Xenopus tropicalis: one gene and its partners. The protein of the gene in region 3 interacts with the protein of the main gene of each other region in a pairwise test. Links are inferred from orthologs where the notes say so. Each region holds a gene or a part of one and is shown on either strand. Other genes may lie near its edges.

Region 1 (4,049 bases), on a different chromosome or scaffold from region 3:
TTTTTTTGGGCCAAAATAGATGTTGGGTCATTTTCACACGGAAATATTATGCATTCTAGTAGGGATGCCCCACATCCTAATCTTACTGGGTGAATTTTAATTAATCCACACAATTTGTAATCCTTTCAGTACCACTGCTCACACTTCTTTTGCATAACATTTTAGTGCAATTTCCTTGGGGGAATTGAATGTTTGAGAAAAATAGATTTTTTTCCCCTTCATTTCAGAGACACATATAAGCTTAATATTCCTGAATTATGGATCTAAATACAAAAACATAATATTTTAATATAACAATAGAATGTAAACATTATTAAATAAACATGAAAATACAACTAATCTTGAAAACCCCTTTACCCACCAGAACAACAATATCAATATTATAGTATTATGGAGATTTCTGATTTGCAAAAACCAACAGCAGTATTAAAAAAAAAAAAAAAAAAAAAAGCATTCCCTATGACAGCAATCTAGATACCTAATGCCCAACCTGCTGATGTAAATCAATACATTCCAGATATATTTCCCTTACCTTTGGTGGCTTAAAGGGATAATCAGATGAAAATGTGATATCCAAGAAAAATACACCCCCCTCATATACTGATCCTGGAGGTCCAAGAATCGTAGATCTCCATTCATAAATATTGTCCCCCTTTGGTCCAGCGCTGTTAAAAAAAATAAAACAGCAGGAGTAATGGATATTACAGATCCCAGTTTAAGCCAAACATTTAGAAAAACAAAAACACCTACGCTAGCTAGCTCAGTTGGAATAACTAGCTTAGCCATACTTTCATTAAAAGACAGAAATTTGATTAATGTGGAATTCTATTTCTGTGAATTTTTATGGAATTCCATGAATTTAATCTAATCTCAATGGAAATAAAAAGGAAACAAAGAGAAAGAACATCAAGAAAAAACAAACAAGGATGACACATTTACATTTTTTTTTTTTAGAAATACCTGTACAAATATAATGAGAAAAAATGTATATCACCAGAATGTAATTGATCATAGAATTCTGCAGCCACATATGGGAAAAAGGTATTAGGGTTTAGTATAGTTACACAAGGCATGGAACTATATAATAATAAAAAAAAAAAAAACAGTAGCAAAAATATAAACAAATTATGAATTCTGTCAGTGATCCCCAACCAGTGGCTCGGGGGCAACATGTTGCTCAGCGCCGCCTTTGTTGTTGCTCCCAGTGGCCGCAAAGTAGGTGCCCACTTTTACATTTCTGGCTTGGAGACAAGTTTTGTAAAGGCAAACACGTGGATTTACTGCAAGCAGAGCCTCCTGCAGGCCACATGGGGCTACCAAGTAGCCAATCACAGTGCTTATTTGGCACCCCCAAGGAACTTTTTTCATAATTGTGTGAACTTTTTACATCTGAGTGTGGCTTATGAGTAAAAAAAAAAAGGTTGGGGATCCCTGAATTATGTATTCCATCTTTCAAGAATGATTGATGCTTTGGTCCCTGCAATGGGCCCAATTGCGTGCAATATAAAAACACTACTCTAGTACTCATTTGGGAAGTTGACAGTGACTTTCATCCCTACAAATGTTCGTTTCACTGTACTGCTCATTTCCAGTCAGAAAAATAGATCAATTAATTTTTCATAATGTTTATGTATTTAAAAAAGTGTGCATCATAGCTTTTTTATTAATATTGAATGCACAGGATATCTTTCCTGTCCCTCCTCTCATTACTTATACCTTTAAAAGGAACAAAACATGAGAAATAATGGGATGAAGGGATAAAATCTATCTCCCTGGTGTTAACGTGAGCCACAGTAATTGCCTATTAAAGCAGTCTAACTTAAGGGCACAATAATTCTCTATGAATTATTTTTATGAACAACATTTCAAGTACAAATTACTAAATTATTTCCCCTGGGTTAAATATTACAATCTACATTTTCATACTTATTACTTACGCCATCATTAAAAAAAAAAAAAAAATTATTTCAGTTTTTCCTGTCCACTAATCTGGTGGAAAAACCTCAAGGATTACACTCTTCAAAAGCTAATGTCAACGATACCATAAAACAGTGAGCAATACCAAACAGAGTAGCGCTCTAAATGAAAATTATGCATTCTGAAATTGGTAGTCAGCAGGCGAAAATGATGGAATATCAATCAAGCCCCTAAAACAGAGGAAACTCTTTCTATTCCTCCAGCTTCATTCTATTTCATACAATTAAAACAGAACTTAAAAATATCTAACAAAATAAAAAGGCCAAACCATCCACTTAACCTGGAACACTTGAAAAATTAGTATAGGAAGAAATTCAAATGATTTCTTCCTCCACTTTTAGGTTTCCAATTAAATGGATGATCTGTTGATTGCCCATTAATTACCAATACGTATGCCCCAGCGCAGATGAATAATTAGATTCAGGTATGTATTGCACTGCTGGATAAACTCTGTACAGTCTGCACTGAGCACAAGTGCCGATTAAAGATCATTCATCAACAGATTAATGAAGGTTCCAGTCACAACAGTTGCTGATTTAATTATTAGGGTTTTGTATGAAATATACTCAGATATTTTTTACATGTACCCTAAGCAAGTAACTACATTTATGAAGCCAGAGCTGCACATGCAAAAACATGGGGAACAGAAATCAGAGAGGGGTGGGATGAGAAATGTCATAAGGCACTTCATTTAAATGGTAGTGAAAATGGATAATGATCATAATCAATTATATAGTACCAAGCTAAACAGCTGGGATTAGAGAGTCATGTTCTGAAAATCTGAACGCAACACCAAAGTGGAACAAATAAATTCCATTATGTTACACAGGGAGCAAGTATTAGAGGATAGTTAAAAACACAAGTCGCCAAGAGTTCCACTGGGCTCAACAGAATGACACCATAACTAATACTTGTCTAAACGAACTGCACTTCAGAAACTCATACAAAATGTAGACAATCCCTGAATTCTTGTGAGCAAACTGCTTTCTGTATGGCTAATTTATTTCCTGTTATTTATATAGTGCTAGCAAATGGGCCCTCTTGGCCCTATTCTACCACATAAAAAGAGAAAATAAAACAAACAAAACCCCTAAAAAAAACCCAAAACACCCCCACCCACAGGCATGCAGCTGGCATATTAAGTTTGCCCAATGAGCTATGTTTCAGATTAAGGTTAAGTATCTGGCTCACACGATGACAAACACAGATAATTCAGACAAAGTATCAAGCATACTGAACAGGCTTGCATGTATAGATCTGACTTCACCTTTATTATACAACAATTTTAAGTTACATAGTTACATAGTTACATAGGGTTGAAAAAAGACCATTGTCCATCAAGTTCAACCCATCCGAGTAAACCCAGCACACAACCTATACTAACCAAACTATACACTCACATACATAAACTATATATATACAACCAGTAATACTAACTGTAGATATTAGTATCACAATAGCCTTGGATATTCTGCTTGTTCAAAAACTCATCCAGGCCCCTCTTAAAGGCATTAACAGAGTCTGCCATTACCACATCACTAGGAAGGGCATTCCACAGCCTCACTGCCCTCACCGTGAAAAACCACCTACGCTGCTTCAAATGGAAGCTCTGTTCCTCTAATCTATAGGGGTGACCTCTGGTGCGCTGATTGTTTTTATGGGAAAAAAGAACATCCCCCAACTGCCTATAATCCCCTATAATGTACTTGTACAGAGTAATCATGTCCCCTCGCAAGCGCCTCTTTTCCAGAGAAAACAACCCCAACCTCGACAGTCTAACCTCATAGCTTAAATCTTCCATCCCCTTTACCAGTTTAGTTGCACGTCTCTGCACTCTCTCCAGCTCATTAATATCCTTCTTAAGGACTGGAGCCCAAAACTGCACTGCATACTCAAGGTGAGGCCTTACCAGGGACCTATAAAGCGGCAAAAATATGTTCTCATCCCTTGAGTCAATGCCCTTTTTTATACAAGACAGCACTTTATTTGCTGTAGTAGCCACAGAATGACACTGCCTGGAATTAGACAACTTGTGATCTACAAAAACCCCTAGATCCTTCTCCATTAAGGAT
Region 2 (4,049 bases), on a different chromosome or scaffold from region 3:
TAGGAAACATTATATACAAAGGCCTGGGCAAGACAATTAGATGAATGTTTAATCAGATGACTTGGTTAATATACATTTATTCTTGGCACAATGTGCCCCTGGTTATCTGGCAAACTCACACAACACACCAGATCCTTTCTGAGCTGCCTAGTTAGAGACAAGTATCACAGTGAAAGCTTTTTGTTTCAATTATTAAATATATACTTTCTCTAATTGCATTATAAAAAATACTAGATAAAATATTATTTGTTAATTAGCTTATTAGGATTCATTCTGACATGTTGCCCTAACTAGAGTGGGTATTAAATGATTACTCAGGCTCTGCTCTATAATGACTAATAAGATTAAGTAAATTAAGGATAACGGACTGAATACAGGTATTAGAATGAGCAGAATTGTTATTAACCATTCTCAGAAACCTAATAAAAAGCAGTGTTGTGGATGAATAGTAGCTTTTAATATTCTTCCCTTTAGTATATTATATTTATGTTGTGTTTTTGCACTTACCTAAACTAATATATAGCTAATCCAATACCTAGAAATGAATTTTACATAAAATGATGTATAACTGGGACTATACCTCCCATTTTTGTTATGGTTGCCATATCCATTTTTCTGCATTCTGTCTCCATAAGTGTGAATAAGCATCATCCAATGACTTCCTGAAAGCATTATACAATTCCATGTGCCAGTACCATGTGGCACTTCATCTCTCTGCATATTATACTTATTATAATGCTTGCCCTCCCTTTGTGTACTTTTTATTATCTTTCTGGCTGTTTATATTCTCTGCAGTCCTGGTTTTGACAATGTAGTAGTATCAGCCAGGTGATAAAGGAGATCTGGATTATAAAGGAGAATATGGGGGTACCCCATATTAAAGAAGTTAAGTGCAGGCACTTTGGGACTTAATAAATGATAAAGCCATAATGCAGTAATTTAGGGTAATGTAATTCAATTTGCCAAATTTTACACAGGTCAAGTAACCCTGAGGTTTGCTTTTGAACAAGAGAACAGTAGAAGATACAGGCTTATAGGCTTTAAGAGGTTGCTACCTGGGAACACTTTCCAGCCTTTATTACAAACCTATTTTAATCAGAACATAGACAGGGTATTCTAAGGAACATTTAGTGGCAGGTACAACTTCTCTTTAAACATTTTCACCCAAAAGGATACCCTCATTTATATATCGGTTGCATCAATTTAAATAATTATGATAAGAAATCAAATTAGTTGTGCAAACTGCCAGCCCCAGAAAACTTGTTTTTCTAATCGGAATACTGCACAGGAAACCAAATATTGCAGTGTTCTCTTAATATTAACTAAATATGCTTGAATTATGGTTGAAGATGGTTAACAACAGCTTTAAGCATAGATGATGAACTGCTTCCAGCTAGAGAAATAAAATACTTTTATAAATTGTATTCTAATAAATGCTTCATGCAAGGAGATATTAAAAGCATAACTCCTGAAGTAACCCCACCACCTGGTAAGTCCGCAAGGTCACAAAAAACACAAGGCAATAATATTCTGACAAGGCAATAATAATCTGACAGCACTAGATTGGTAGGTGCTTATAGGCTGCCCAAGGTAATTGCTGTTAATTGCATCTTACTTTACACACAGGCCATGAGCAGAGAATAAATATCCCAGATAATAATAGGAAACAATATTGTTCTATAGCTCTCAAGGCATATTAATGCAATTTTTCACAAGAGAGGTCCTTACCAGGGTTGCAGTCTGTGAGCAGAGAGCAGATAGACAGGAGGACTTTGGAAATTGTGAGTGCTGGGCTCCAGTTATCTTTCAGGATGTCGAGACAGATCACCCCCTGACTGTTTATGTTACAGTGGTAAATTCTTGTCCGAAATGTCACCTAAGGAAAATAAAATGCCTTGATGATTCCAGGATAATATAAAAAAAAGCTGCAATGCTGCAACTGGATCAACACAAATGAAACACAAACAGCTTAACTCAAGTGGAACTAGAATTCAATGCACTTTATAAAAAAGGAAATTGTATGGTTATTAATAAACACAAAAGGTCATAGACTTTAAAAAGAAAAAAAAAAAAGTAAGATCCAATAGTTCCTTTCTTTAAGTGCCTGCAGCACAATAGCTATTTCAAACGCGTTAAAACTGCTTCTTAAAGGCATATGAACAGCAAGACAGCCTGATACATACAGGCCCACGTCATGAGCTGTGCTGGCACAAAAGTTCCCTAACACTTTACTTTAAACACCTGCAACAATTTTTTTTCTCCAATAGCCAAGTGGGGAACCTTAAAACCAGCAGTTCCATATTTCCCTAAAGGGCCGCTACAAGGGGGTGGCCCCCTGAGATGTAAATGTGTGATTTGCATGTTGCGATGGCACAATGGGGCATGGCCATACATACATGGGCCTTTTTTTCATTATTGGTACTACATTCTACTTGCTGGCAAGGCCCTCTGCCCACATGACCAATAGGTTAATATTTGGGGCTCCCTGGGCAAGAGTCCTGATGAGGATTTCTGAGGATGGTACAGTTTCTCTATGTATTAAAACTTTACTGTCAGGACGTTTTAAATGAACTAATATTTTTAGAAAAGCTTGAGCCAATTCATTGGAATGTGTCCAACCTCTTTTAGCAGTCGAACACCATTCTCTTCAATGGGGTATAATTCTCCGGCACAAAATTCTTCAAGCGCTGCTTTCAATAGCAATTACACTTACAAATAACTTTTAAAGTACTGAAATTTTTTAAAATAAATTCATATCGGAAAGCTGCTTGGAATTATGTTTTCTTTTATTAGGCAAAACTTTTTGGGTTGAAATGTCCTTTAAAAGTACTGTATTAATGAGCTAAAGAAACAGGCCTTCTGCTTAACAGAATTCTTGCCTATTCATTTAATTAAGAAATGTCTATGGTTTACCGATTTCTCTATCACTAAACAAGAAAATGAAACCACTTTTACTTTCCAACTTCAAGCTGTCAACAGAGGAGAAACACATTAAACAAACTACTTGAGGAAAGAAGGGGAAGCCTTATCTTAAAAAAGCTGCTCCTTATCTCAAATGCTAATATAGGCTTTTTCCCATTAGTGCAAAAAAGGAAAATACGGATGACTAAAATTAAAAGAAAACTTAATTAAAATTAAGTTATCATGGTGTCAGCTGGATACAGCCCTCATTTGTATGTTTACTAACATGGTCTGATCCCACATAAAGTTAAGGGCAAGCAAACAGATTCTTCTCAACTCTTGCAACTTCACTAGCCAACAGCAGCTATTGAGCATTTGCTATGACACTGTCTCCCTGGAGCAGCTCTGGGTGGCGAGCATCAACTGTAAAACTGTCCTAATTATTAAATATTTCAAATGTTCGGGCCTGATAAACTATTGTATCTATTAACAAACCATTCTATCAATTATAACCTTAATGATGCTCAGGGATTATTGATACAATAATTGCTAATATTCCACAATTGCTACTGGGAAATGTATCAACTAACGTAGCAAATTCTAACAGTTCCGAGGCAGCTAGATTACTGAGCTGCAACACTAAAACACCTTAGAAAGGAACTTTAAACTTTAATTTTAGAAAACAGTAAAAAAAAAAATAGAAAGCAACTGAAAAAAAGTATTTTTCTGCATAATTAATCGTTACTCCAATTCTACTTGGCCTTTGTAGCCTTAGGCAAGTTACATTCTTCCTGCACCTCAGACACCAACATAAATAAGGCACACTAGGTGATTTTCTCAGTTGCATTTTTCCCTGCAGAAAATCTGTTGTCTGTCAAAACACAAAAGAATTGGCCCCATACTCTACCAGTAGAAAGGGTATGTGTGTTCTTTTCAAACACACACTCACACACACACACACACACACACAAGCATACAAATCCACACACACACAAGCATACAAATCCACACACACACACGCATACAAAGCCACACACGCGCATACAAAGCCACACACACACGCATACAAAGCCACACACGCATACAAAGCCACACACGCATACAAAGCCACACACACACGCGCATACAAAGCCACACACACGCGCATA
Region 3 (4,049 bases):
ATTGGACAATTGACCCAAAGGCTATTTCATGGGCAGGTGTTGGCAAGTCCGTTGTTATGTCATTATCAATTAAGCAGATAAAAGGCCTGGAGTTGATTTGAGGTGTGGTGCTTGCATGTGGAAGGAGCTCTGCATGCAGGTGAAAGAAGCCATCCTTAAGCTGTGAAAACAGAAAAAACCCACCAGAGAAATTGCTACAATATTAGGAGTGGCAAAATATACAGTTTGGTACATCCTGAGAAACCGGTGAACGCAAAAAGACCTGGATATCCACGGAAGACAACAGTGGTGGATGATCGTAGAATCATTTCCATGGTGAAGAGAAACCCCTTCAATACAGCCAGCCCAGTGAACAACACTCTCCAGGGGCTAGGCATATGGATATCCAAGTCTACCATAAAGAGAAGACTGCATGAAAGTAAATACAGAGGGTGCACTGCAAGGTGCAAGCCTCTCATAAGCTTCAAGAATAGAAAGGCTAGATTGGACTTTGCTAAAGAACATCTAAGAAAGCCAGCACAGTTCTGGAAAACCATTCCTTGGACAGATGAAACCAAGATCAACCTATACCAGAATGATGGCAAGAAAAAAGTATGGAGAAGGTGTGGAACGGCTCCTTAGCCAAAGCATACCACATCATCTGTAAAACATGGTGGAGGCAGTGTGATGCCTTGGGCGTGCATGGCTGCCAGTGGCATTGGGACATTAGTGTTTATTGATGATGTGACACGGGACAGAAGCAGCCGAATGAATTCTGAGGTGTTCAGAGACATACTGTCTGCTCAAATCCAGCTAAATGCAGTCAAATTGATACAAATGGACAGATGTACAATGACCCAAAACACACAGTCAAAGCAACCCAGGAGTTTATTAAAGCAAAGAAGTGGAAAATTCTTGAATGGCCAAGTCAGTCACCTGATCTTAACCCAATTGAGCATGCATTTCACTTGTTGAAGACTAAACTTCAGAAAGAAAGGCCCACAAACAAACGGCAACTGAAAGCCACTGCAGTAACAGCCTGGCAGAGCATTAAAGGAACAGTAACACCAAAAAATCAAAGTGTATAAAAGGAACTACAGTATAATGTACTGTTGCCCTGCACTGGTGAAACAGGTGTATTTGCTTTAGAAACATTACCATAGTTTAGTAAATGAAGCTGCTGTGTAGCCATGGGGGCAGCCATTTAAAAGAGAAAAGGCACAGGTGACATAGCAGATAACAGATAAAACACCATTGTATTGTACAGAACTTATCTGTTATCTGCTATGTAACCTGTGCCTTTTTTCCTTTTTCCAGCTTGAATGGCTGCCCCCATGGCTACACAGCAGCTTTTTATATAAACTATAGAAGTGTTTCTGAAGCAAATGTGCAAATTTTACCAGTGCAGGGCAACAGTGCATTGTATTATGATTACTTAAAAACATTTTTATTTTTTGGTGTTACTGTTCCTATAATAAACTCACATTTTTATGCAACCGTTTTGTTCACCCCACTGAATTAAAGCTGAAAGTCTGCACTTCAACTGCATTTCAATTGTTTCATTTACAATTCATTGTGGTAATGTACAGAACCAAAATTAGAAAAAATTTGTCTCTGTCCAAATATTTATGGACCTAACTGTATATGGGCAATTATGGCAAGGTTACAGATAAAAACATACAATTTTATCAGCTAATCAGTTATAGTTAAAGAAAACCAAGTTTACTAAATAAGTATTTGCTCCAAACCCTTACCCTATCTGACCTTCTACTTGGACTTTCAGAAATCATTTTCCCCTGAATTCTACCTTATCTGGTCTTATGGCAGAACAGCTAGTTGTGCAGATACAACTGTTGTTGCACAGCTACCAAACACCCAGTCAAACAAGTTGCAGTGATATGAAGCTTGTCTGTGAGCTTTCCTACCACAAGCCCCCCTTTTGTCGACCTTTTTTTATTCTTTTGGCCGTAGCCTAACAGTATACTGGTAACTTAGCACTAACATGAAATAATAAAATCACAGTAAATATAAAATTGCACATTTAAGGGCACCAGTGTTACAACAGTTCTACAGACTGAGAAGTGCTTAATAAACTGTTACATGTTATATCTATATATAGATATAGTTATATGTAGTGGCCTAACTAAGTACAAAACAAAGCCAAAAGAAGTGGTTTACACTGATCTGGTGAAATGTATAATAAAAAAAAATGTACATATCCTCAATCTCATGGGGACTTTTGCCCTTGGTTTTGGGAAAAGCCCCTTTAATTACCTGGTGGATAACCTAACCATGTGCCTTCTGGGTGTCCTAAATGATGTAATCCCTTCTAAATATGCAAGGTTAAGATTTTGCATTTTACTATTGTATCGAAAGAAAACAGTTGCTATGCATTGGATGGGTAACTCCCCTTCTTCCCCCAGAGCCTGCATACAACTGGTTAATAATGCAACCCCACTCTTTAAACTCACATACAAAATCAGAGGATCACCTGCCAAATTTGACATTGTATGGTGTGATATAGACTCTGTTGAGACCTAAATTAGGGAAACCTCTCCACACCTATACAGGAGGCTGCCATAAAACTGTATGGCCCCCCTCCAGGAGCAATGCCTGCCCTAGACCCTAATCTAGGATGACTGTTCTCTTGGTGTGTCCAACCAAGGGAACCTCCCCCCATGGCTTTCACTGTTACACCTTGTGTCAACTTGTACCCAATTCTCATATTCTGCGAAAACCTTTGTTTGTTTTCTTTGTTTTGGTTTTATCTTGTTTAAAATAATTAAAAAATTACCTTTAAAAAAAAGTGTAAATTATAACTTAAAAAAGGTCACTCAGAGAGAACAAGCAGATAATCAATGAAATAAAGCACCAAGGGTGGCGGAACAGGTCTCACTATGCCACAAATTAATATTACTACCTATACTATATAGTGATCTATGTAGTACCTTTAAACTGAACAGCGTACTAAACTTCTCTTGATTTTTTTTTTAAATTTTTTTATAAATAGAAACTGATTTGGGGAAAAAAGCGCTAACATGATGACATTACTGGTGAATGCTGGGTAGTTTTGTTCCAACTTGACGTTGTCTTTATTTAAAAAGTCTGTTGAAGATAGGGGTACATGGGTTATGGTGTCATGGTTTAAGTTCTCTAGTCATCTCTGTTACCCATAAATTAGTGATTTGTTACTCACGGCTTTTAACTTTTGCAGAATGAAATTGAGCAAAAACGTAGAATGCTCACCTCTGAATTTGAAATCCTGCGTCAGATTTTAGAAGATCATGAAAGAGAATTCAAAGAGCGTTTGGAGAACATGGAGAGACTGATCATTAAAAGAACAAATGAAAGGACCAGTAAGCTGAATGAAAAACTGTCATCTCTGCACGCACTCATCTTAGATATCGAGCAAAATATTCTCCCCTCGGCTCAAACATATCAGGTTAGACTTTATGATCACTGTGTCATCCATTTAATTTACATCCTATGCCAATATTCCTTTTTAACTTATATTTGTTTTTTACATATTGTTCTCTGTCTGACTTCTAAAGGAACCGAAATCTGCGGTGGGCAGGTAAATATTTGTTTTTAACTGCTTTGTAAGTCAATTGTTTTAGTTGTGTGTGAGCATTTTAGTGTTTGATAAGTAGACAAAGGTGCATTTAAGTTGCTTTCTAAATATAAATATACAATATCATAATGAATGTTTTGCCAGAAACCAAACCCATTAGCATTTACCCATTTTCTTTAACAAGATGACAAGTCCTTGCTAATGGAAAGCAGCTTAACAGCCTCTGTCTGGTACTGGAGAGGGAATTGTGGGGACTATGTGATTTACCCCCTGAGTATGTTTGTACAGAGTATTTGTATTCCAGCCTGAAAGGACTAAAACTGACATCTTAAAGGAACAGTAACATCAAAAAATTAAAGTGTTTTAAAGTAATTAAAATATAATGTGCTGTTGCTCTGCAAAAAACTGATGTTTTTGCTACAGAAAAGCTACTAAATAAATAAGCTGCTGGGTAGCCATGGGGACAGCCATTCAAGCTGGAAAAAAAGGAGAAAAGGCA
Region 4 (4,841 bases), on a different chromosome or scaffold from region 3:
GCTCAATCAAACTTTACTCAGTTGTTGCTGGACTACAAATCCTAGAATAATGTAACATATAATAAAGGTATTCTAGGAGCTGTAGTCCAGCAACATCCAGGTTGTATTACACTATTGCACAATAAAGCTTTTCCTAAACTTTTCCCCAAATCTCCCCAGCCAGCGACTGCTTTAAAAAGAAAAAATCCTCCAATGAGAATCCCAGCTGATCTGTGTAAATCCGGCTCCCTGTTCTCTGTTCCTGCAATTGGAGTTGGGAGCAATAAGCACAGTTTCCCAGCACTGAACAAGTCTGTCCCTTTATCCCCATGTCTGATTCCTGTGTCATTTAATAAAGTCAAAAAGTGACATAATTATCTCTCTATGTGTAAAATAACAGCAAGATGCCTGACAGTGCTGGGAATCAGCATTCTCATTGGTCAATTCTTTTGCATAATGTATAATAACGTTTTTTATCAATAGAATTCTCATTGGTGAATTTTCTTGCATCTATAATTGTTTGTTTGGTAATTTCTATCATGGCTGGATTTACAACTCCCTTAACTTAATTAACTAACCCCATTATAACCAAGCAGGTTGCCAAACAAATTGCTCCTCTAGCGGTTAATTATCACAACTACTGAATGGTTGCTATGGGTTACCCAAATGGAGTAAAATGTAGAAAAAGGCCTGTTTTCTGAACTGTCCCCTAGGCCTTTGGCAAGGAGTGGGGATACCATGCCATACGTGGAAGGTTACAGGTAGTAAACCACTTACAACAATGAATGAATGAATAATCTTTGTCATTATCACTTGGACAACAAAATTGCAAACAATCAACTCAAAGCAATGCAAAAGCACTATACAAAAATAACACACCAAGAACAAATATCCACAAATGCACTAACAATTTAACATGCAATTTAACAATTCTCTCTACTTCGAATCGAGAGCCATAATCGCTTTAGATAAAAACCATTTTTCAAGCGATTTGTCCTTGCTCTCATTACCCTATATCTCTTGCCTGATGGCAAAACCTGAAAAAAGGAGTGACTGGGATGTGATGGATCTTGTATATTATCCAAAGCTTTTTTTCTGGCATCGGGAATTGTAAATTTGTTCCAGGGAAGGTAAAGGGAAGCCCACTATTTTCTCTGCTGCCCTAATAATTCTATGGAGTGCCTTTGCATCTGATAAGGTACAGCTGCCATACCACACAGAGTCCATATGTGAGTACACTCGTGATGGAACAATGGTAAAAGGCAAGAAGTAAATTCCTAGGGAGACAGTTCTAAGAATTCGCAAAAAATACAGTCTCTGCTGCACCTTCCCCGGCAGCACCCTAGTATTGGCCCTCCAAGACAGCTCCTCCTCCAATTCAATACCTAGGAACCTAAATTCCAAAACCCTCTCCACACATACCCCAGAAATCTTAAGCGGCTGAATATCAGTTTTATTTCTCCTGAAGTCAACCACCAACTCCTTTGTCTTTGAGGTATTAAGTTGCAAGTTGTTTACACTGCACCACTCTGACAGCCGCTCTACCTCATTCCTATGCCATCTCACTCTCCCTGCCTGAGATGAGTCCAATTACCGTTGTATCATCTGCAAACGTAATGATCTTATTACTGAGGTGAGTAGGAACACAGTTATATGTGTAGAGGGGTATAGAGGAGCGGACTTAGCACACAGCCCTGTGGCGAGCCGGTATTCAGCCTGAAGATCTAAGAATCCAACCTGACCCTCTGAGACCAACCAGTTAAAAAATCCAGTATCCAACTGCAAGTAGATAATGGAAGTCCCAAGTATACCAATTTAGACACCAATCATCGCGGGAGAGTATTGAATGCTGAACTGCAATCCACAAAAAGCAATCTAGCGTAACTCCCCCGCTGTTCCAGATGACTCAAAGCAATATGAAGGGCTATAGCCACCGCATCCTCTGTAGATCTCTTTGCCTTATACACAAATTGAAAGGGATCTAAGTCTACTGGTAAACAAGCAATAATATGACTCTGCATCAGTTTCCCAAAGCACTTCATGATGACCGATGTAAGTGCCACTGGACGAAAATCATTCAAACGTAATGGGCTTTTTAGGCAGTGGAACAATAATGGACGACTTAAGTTCATGATGGAACCATAGCCTGAGACCAATTAAATTCCTAGTAAAATCCAAGTAAGGACTCGGGCCAATTGGTCCGCACAATCCTTCAGCACCCATCCAGCCACACCATCAGGCCCCACGGCTTTCCTTGGATTCACCCTCCTCAACACCCACCACAACAACCTGTTTTCCAGTGATACTTTTGTGATAAACTGAGAAACCCATAAACAAGTCATTTTCTAATTCAAACTGTCCCGCCCAGAATTCAAGAAAAGAAAGGTTTTGGGCATTGGGAAACCCTGTCCCGCCCAGAATTCAAGAAAAGAAAGGTTTTGGGCATTGGGAAACCCTGTCCCGCCCAGAATTCACAAAAAGAAAGGTTTTGGGGGTCACTCTGTATGAGAGGATTAGAGAACAATCTCGGCGCCGGTTCTGATCTAATTTCCTATTGGAATTCATAAGGCAGAACCATTCATTCATTCAAAGGCCAAAATCAAAGGTGCTGCTGGCCGAGATAAAGAATAACCGCGGCGCTGTAGCCTTCGCCCTGTGGCCCCCACCGACCCAGTCCGCTCACTCCACTCCATCACGGGCGCAAGGAGGAAGGGGGGTACATGGTGGGGGGAGGGGTTTGATGGCACAACTGGGGTGGGGGGGGACCCCCAGGCATCAACCCCGGCCTTTGCCTGCTGCTGCCCATAACTTTACCAGGTTTCATCACACCAAGGCCCCACAAAAACACCTGCGCACAATGTTACCTGCCACTAGAACCCCCCAATGCCCTGCAGCACCCACAGACTTCCTAATGCCAGCCTCGCCCATTATTAACTATATATACAGTTATATGCACAAGCAGAACAAGCAGTGCAGAGACTGTAAGTAGCCAGATACCCCATTTACAAATAACTCTAAAGCCACTGGAACAGAATACAGAGATTTGGAAGTCGCTTAGAAACACAGATGTGCAGCCATGCTATCTGCCCCTGACTATAGGGCTCATTGCCATGTTACACATGAGGTGCCACCCCCACCCCTGTCTCTATGCCAACACTGAGAGGAGATAGGAGGCCTTTGCTGCTGTAGGAGCATTGGGCATGGGGAAGACCCCTTGTTATTTACATGGTACTTCCACACCGACACGGCTTGGGCTCTCAGCTTTGCACAACCAGCCCGCTTCCTCCTCCTCCTCCTCTTCAGCCTCATCCTCACTGCCCCCTGGGGAGCCCATCGAGCCCAAAACCCAGCACCTTCCTCACACACAGAGCAAGGGATATGGGCGGGTCTTGAGCTAGCAGTGCGGCTCTGCGATAGGAGTAAATTACAAGGGGAGGGACACAAGCCAGCAGTGCGGCTCTGCGATAGGAGGAAAGTACAAGGAGCGGGTCTTGAGCCAGCAGTGTGGCTCTGCGATAGGAGGAAAGTACAAGGGGCGGGTCTTGAGCCAGCAGTGTGGCTCTGCGATAGGAGGAAAGAACAAGGTGAGGCACAAGCCAGCAGTGCGGCTCTGCGATAGGAGGAAAGTAGAAGGGAAGGGGCACAAGCCAGCAGCAGTGCGGTTCTGCGATTGGATGAAAGTACAAGGGGAGGTACAAGCCAGTAGTAAGTCTCTGCGATAGGAGGAAAGTACAAGGGGCGGCACAAGCCAGTAGTAAGTCTCTGCGATAGCAGGAAAGTACAAGGGGGGAAACACAATCCAGCAGTGCGGCTCTGCGATAGGAGGAAAGTACAAGGGGAGGCACAAGCCAGCAGTGCGGCTCTGCGATAGGAGGAAATTACAAGGGGAGGGACACAATCCAGCAAAGCGGCTCTGCGATAGGAGAAAAGTACAAGGGGAGGCACAAGCCAGCAGTGCGGCTCTGCGATAGGAGGAAAGGGGAGGGCGGTGCTAATGCCAGCTGCGTGTCTGTCGGGCAGCTGTAGGCGCAGTGTCAGATATAGTGCAGTGAGACAGCATGGCCCAGTTTGGTGCATATACTATTTCTTTCTGGTTATTCAGTGGGAGCTGCCATGCAGCTTGCTTCCAGTGTTCCCTCCCCCAGACACAAATGGCTCTGCTCCCAGAGTAGCTCACCCATATACAACCCACTCCCTTCAGCCTTTGTTGTGACTGTTTTCTTAGCAGGAGGGGATATCTGCTTTATCGGATGTGATTAAGGCAAAATAAAAGGATGGGTTGCGCTTGTATAGATAAAGCTGGTGTGTGAGAAAGACGCTCTTTACAGGCGTTTCAGTAGGGGCCGGTGGTTGTTTCCATTGCAGAACCTGTTTTTGGTGAGATAAGGCCCCACCCAAACCGCACAACGCCCATTTATGTGCCACGTTCCTTCTATCCTGTACCTACTGCTGCACCCAGGCCGGCTGCCAATAAAGCCAGAGAGCGCTCTGAGCAAAGTTTAATCTGGAAATGCTGCACCCTTTCCTTGAAATGCTCCCCTTGTGCGGCCGGCAGTGCCAAGCCTTTGCCTTATACGCTCCCCGTGGCTGCCCTGCCTCAGTGTGTGGGAGAAGGAATCATTAGACTGGGAGTGGGTAGGCACCCCAGATACATGCTATCAGAGAGACAAGGCCAATGTGTAATGTTTTAGCCCAGGGGTGGGCAAACCTTTTGGCTCAGGGGCCACATTGACTTACAGACGGGCCGGGCCAGCGTTGCGCCGTTTCCACTCGTCAGTCCCCAGATGCCAAGTCTCGCGTGATGGGACATGCGGAGTTGGCGGACCAGATTAAAAAGACCAACGGGCCATAGTTTGCCCACC

What was found.
Region 1: the proteins of E3 ubiquitin-protein ligase TRIM39 (region 3) and ube2e3 interact in binary tests that used the Homo sapiens proteins (3 or more experiments, as listed by UniProt). The link is inferred for Xenopus tropicalis from reciprocal best matches to the Homo sapiens genes TRIM39 and UBE2E3.
Region 2: the proteins of E3 ubiquitin-protein ligase TRIM39 (region 3) and ube2e2 interact in binary tests that used the Homo sapiens proteins (3 or more experiments, as listed by UniProt). The link is inferred for Xenopus tropicalis from reciprocal best matches to the Homo sapiens genes TRIM39 and UBE2E2.
Region 4: the proteins of E3 ubiquitin-protein ligase TRIM39 (region 3) and poli interact in binary tests that used the Homo sapiens proteins (3 or more experiments, as listed by UniProt). The two-hybrid records come from large-scale screens. The link is inferred for Xenopus tropicalis from reciprocal best matches to the Homo sapiens genes TRIM39 and POLI.

What each region holds. Positions count from the first base shown.
Region 1 is NC_030685.2:62,838,337-62,842,385, forward strand, and holds part of ube2e3 (ubiquitin-conjugating enzyme E2 E3), read right to left. Parts: intron 666-4,049; coding exon 533-665; intron 1-532. UniProt on the Homo sapiens protein: Accepts ubiquitin from the E1 complex and catalyzes its covalent attachment to other proteins. In vitro catalyzes 'Lys-11'- and 'Lys-48'-, as well as 'Lys-63'-linked polyubiquitination.
Region 2 is NC_030682.2:46,453,269-46,457,317, reverse strand, and holds part of ube2e2 (ubiquitin-conjugating enzyme E2 E2), read right to left. Parts: intron 1,877-4,049; coding exon 1,729-1,876; intron 1-1,728.
Region 3 is NC_030678.2:143,279,433-143,283,481, forward strand, and holds part of E3 ubiquitin-protein ligase TRIM39, read left to right. Parts: intron 1-3,193; coding exon 3,194-3,421; intron 3,422-3,530; coding exon 3,531-3,553; intron 3,554-4,049.
Region 4 is NC_030677.2:203,554,486-203,559,326, forward strand, and holds the start of poli (DNA polymerase iota), read right to left. Parts: upstream 3,192-4,841; 5' UTR 3,175-3,191; coding exon 3,117-3,174; intron 1-3,116. UniProt on the Homo sapiens protein: Error-prone DNA polymerase specifically involved in DNA repair. Plays an important role in translesion synthesis, where the normal high-fidelity DNA polymerases cannot proceed and DNA synthesis stalls. Favors Hoogsteen base-pairing in the active site.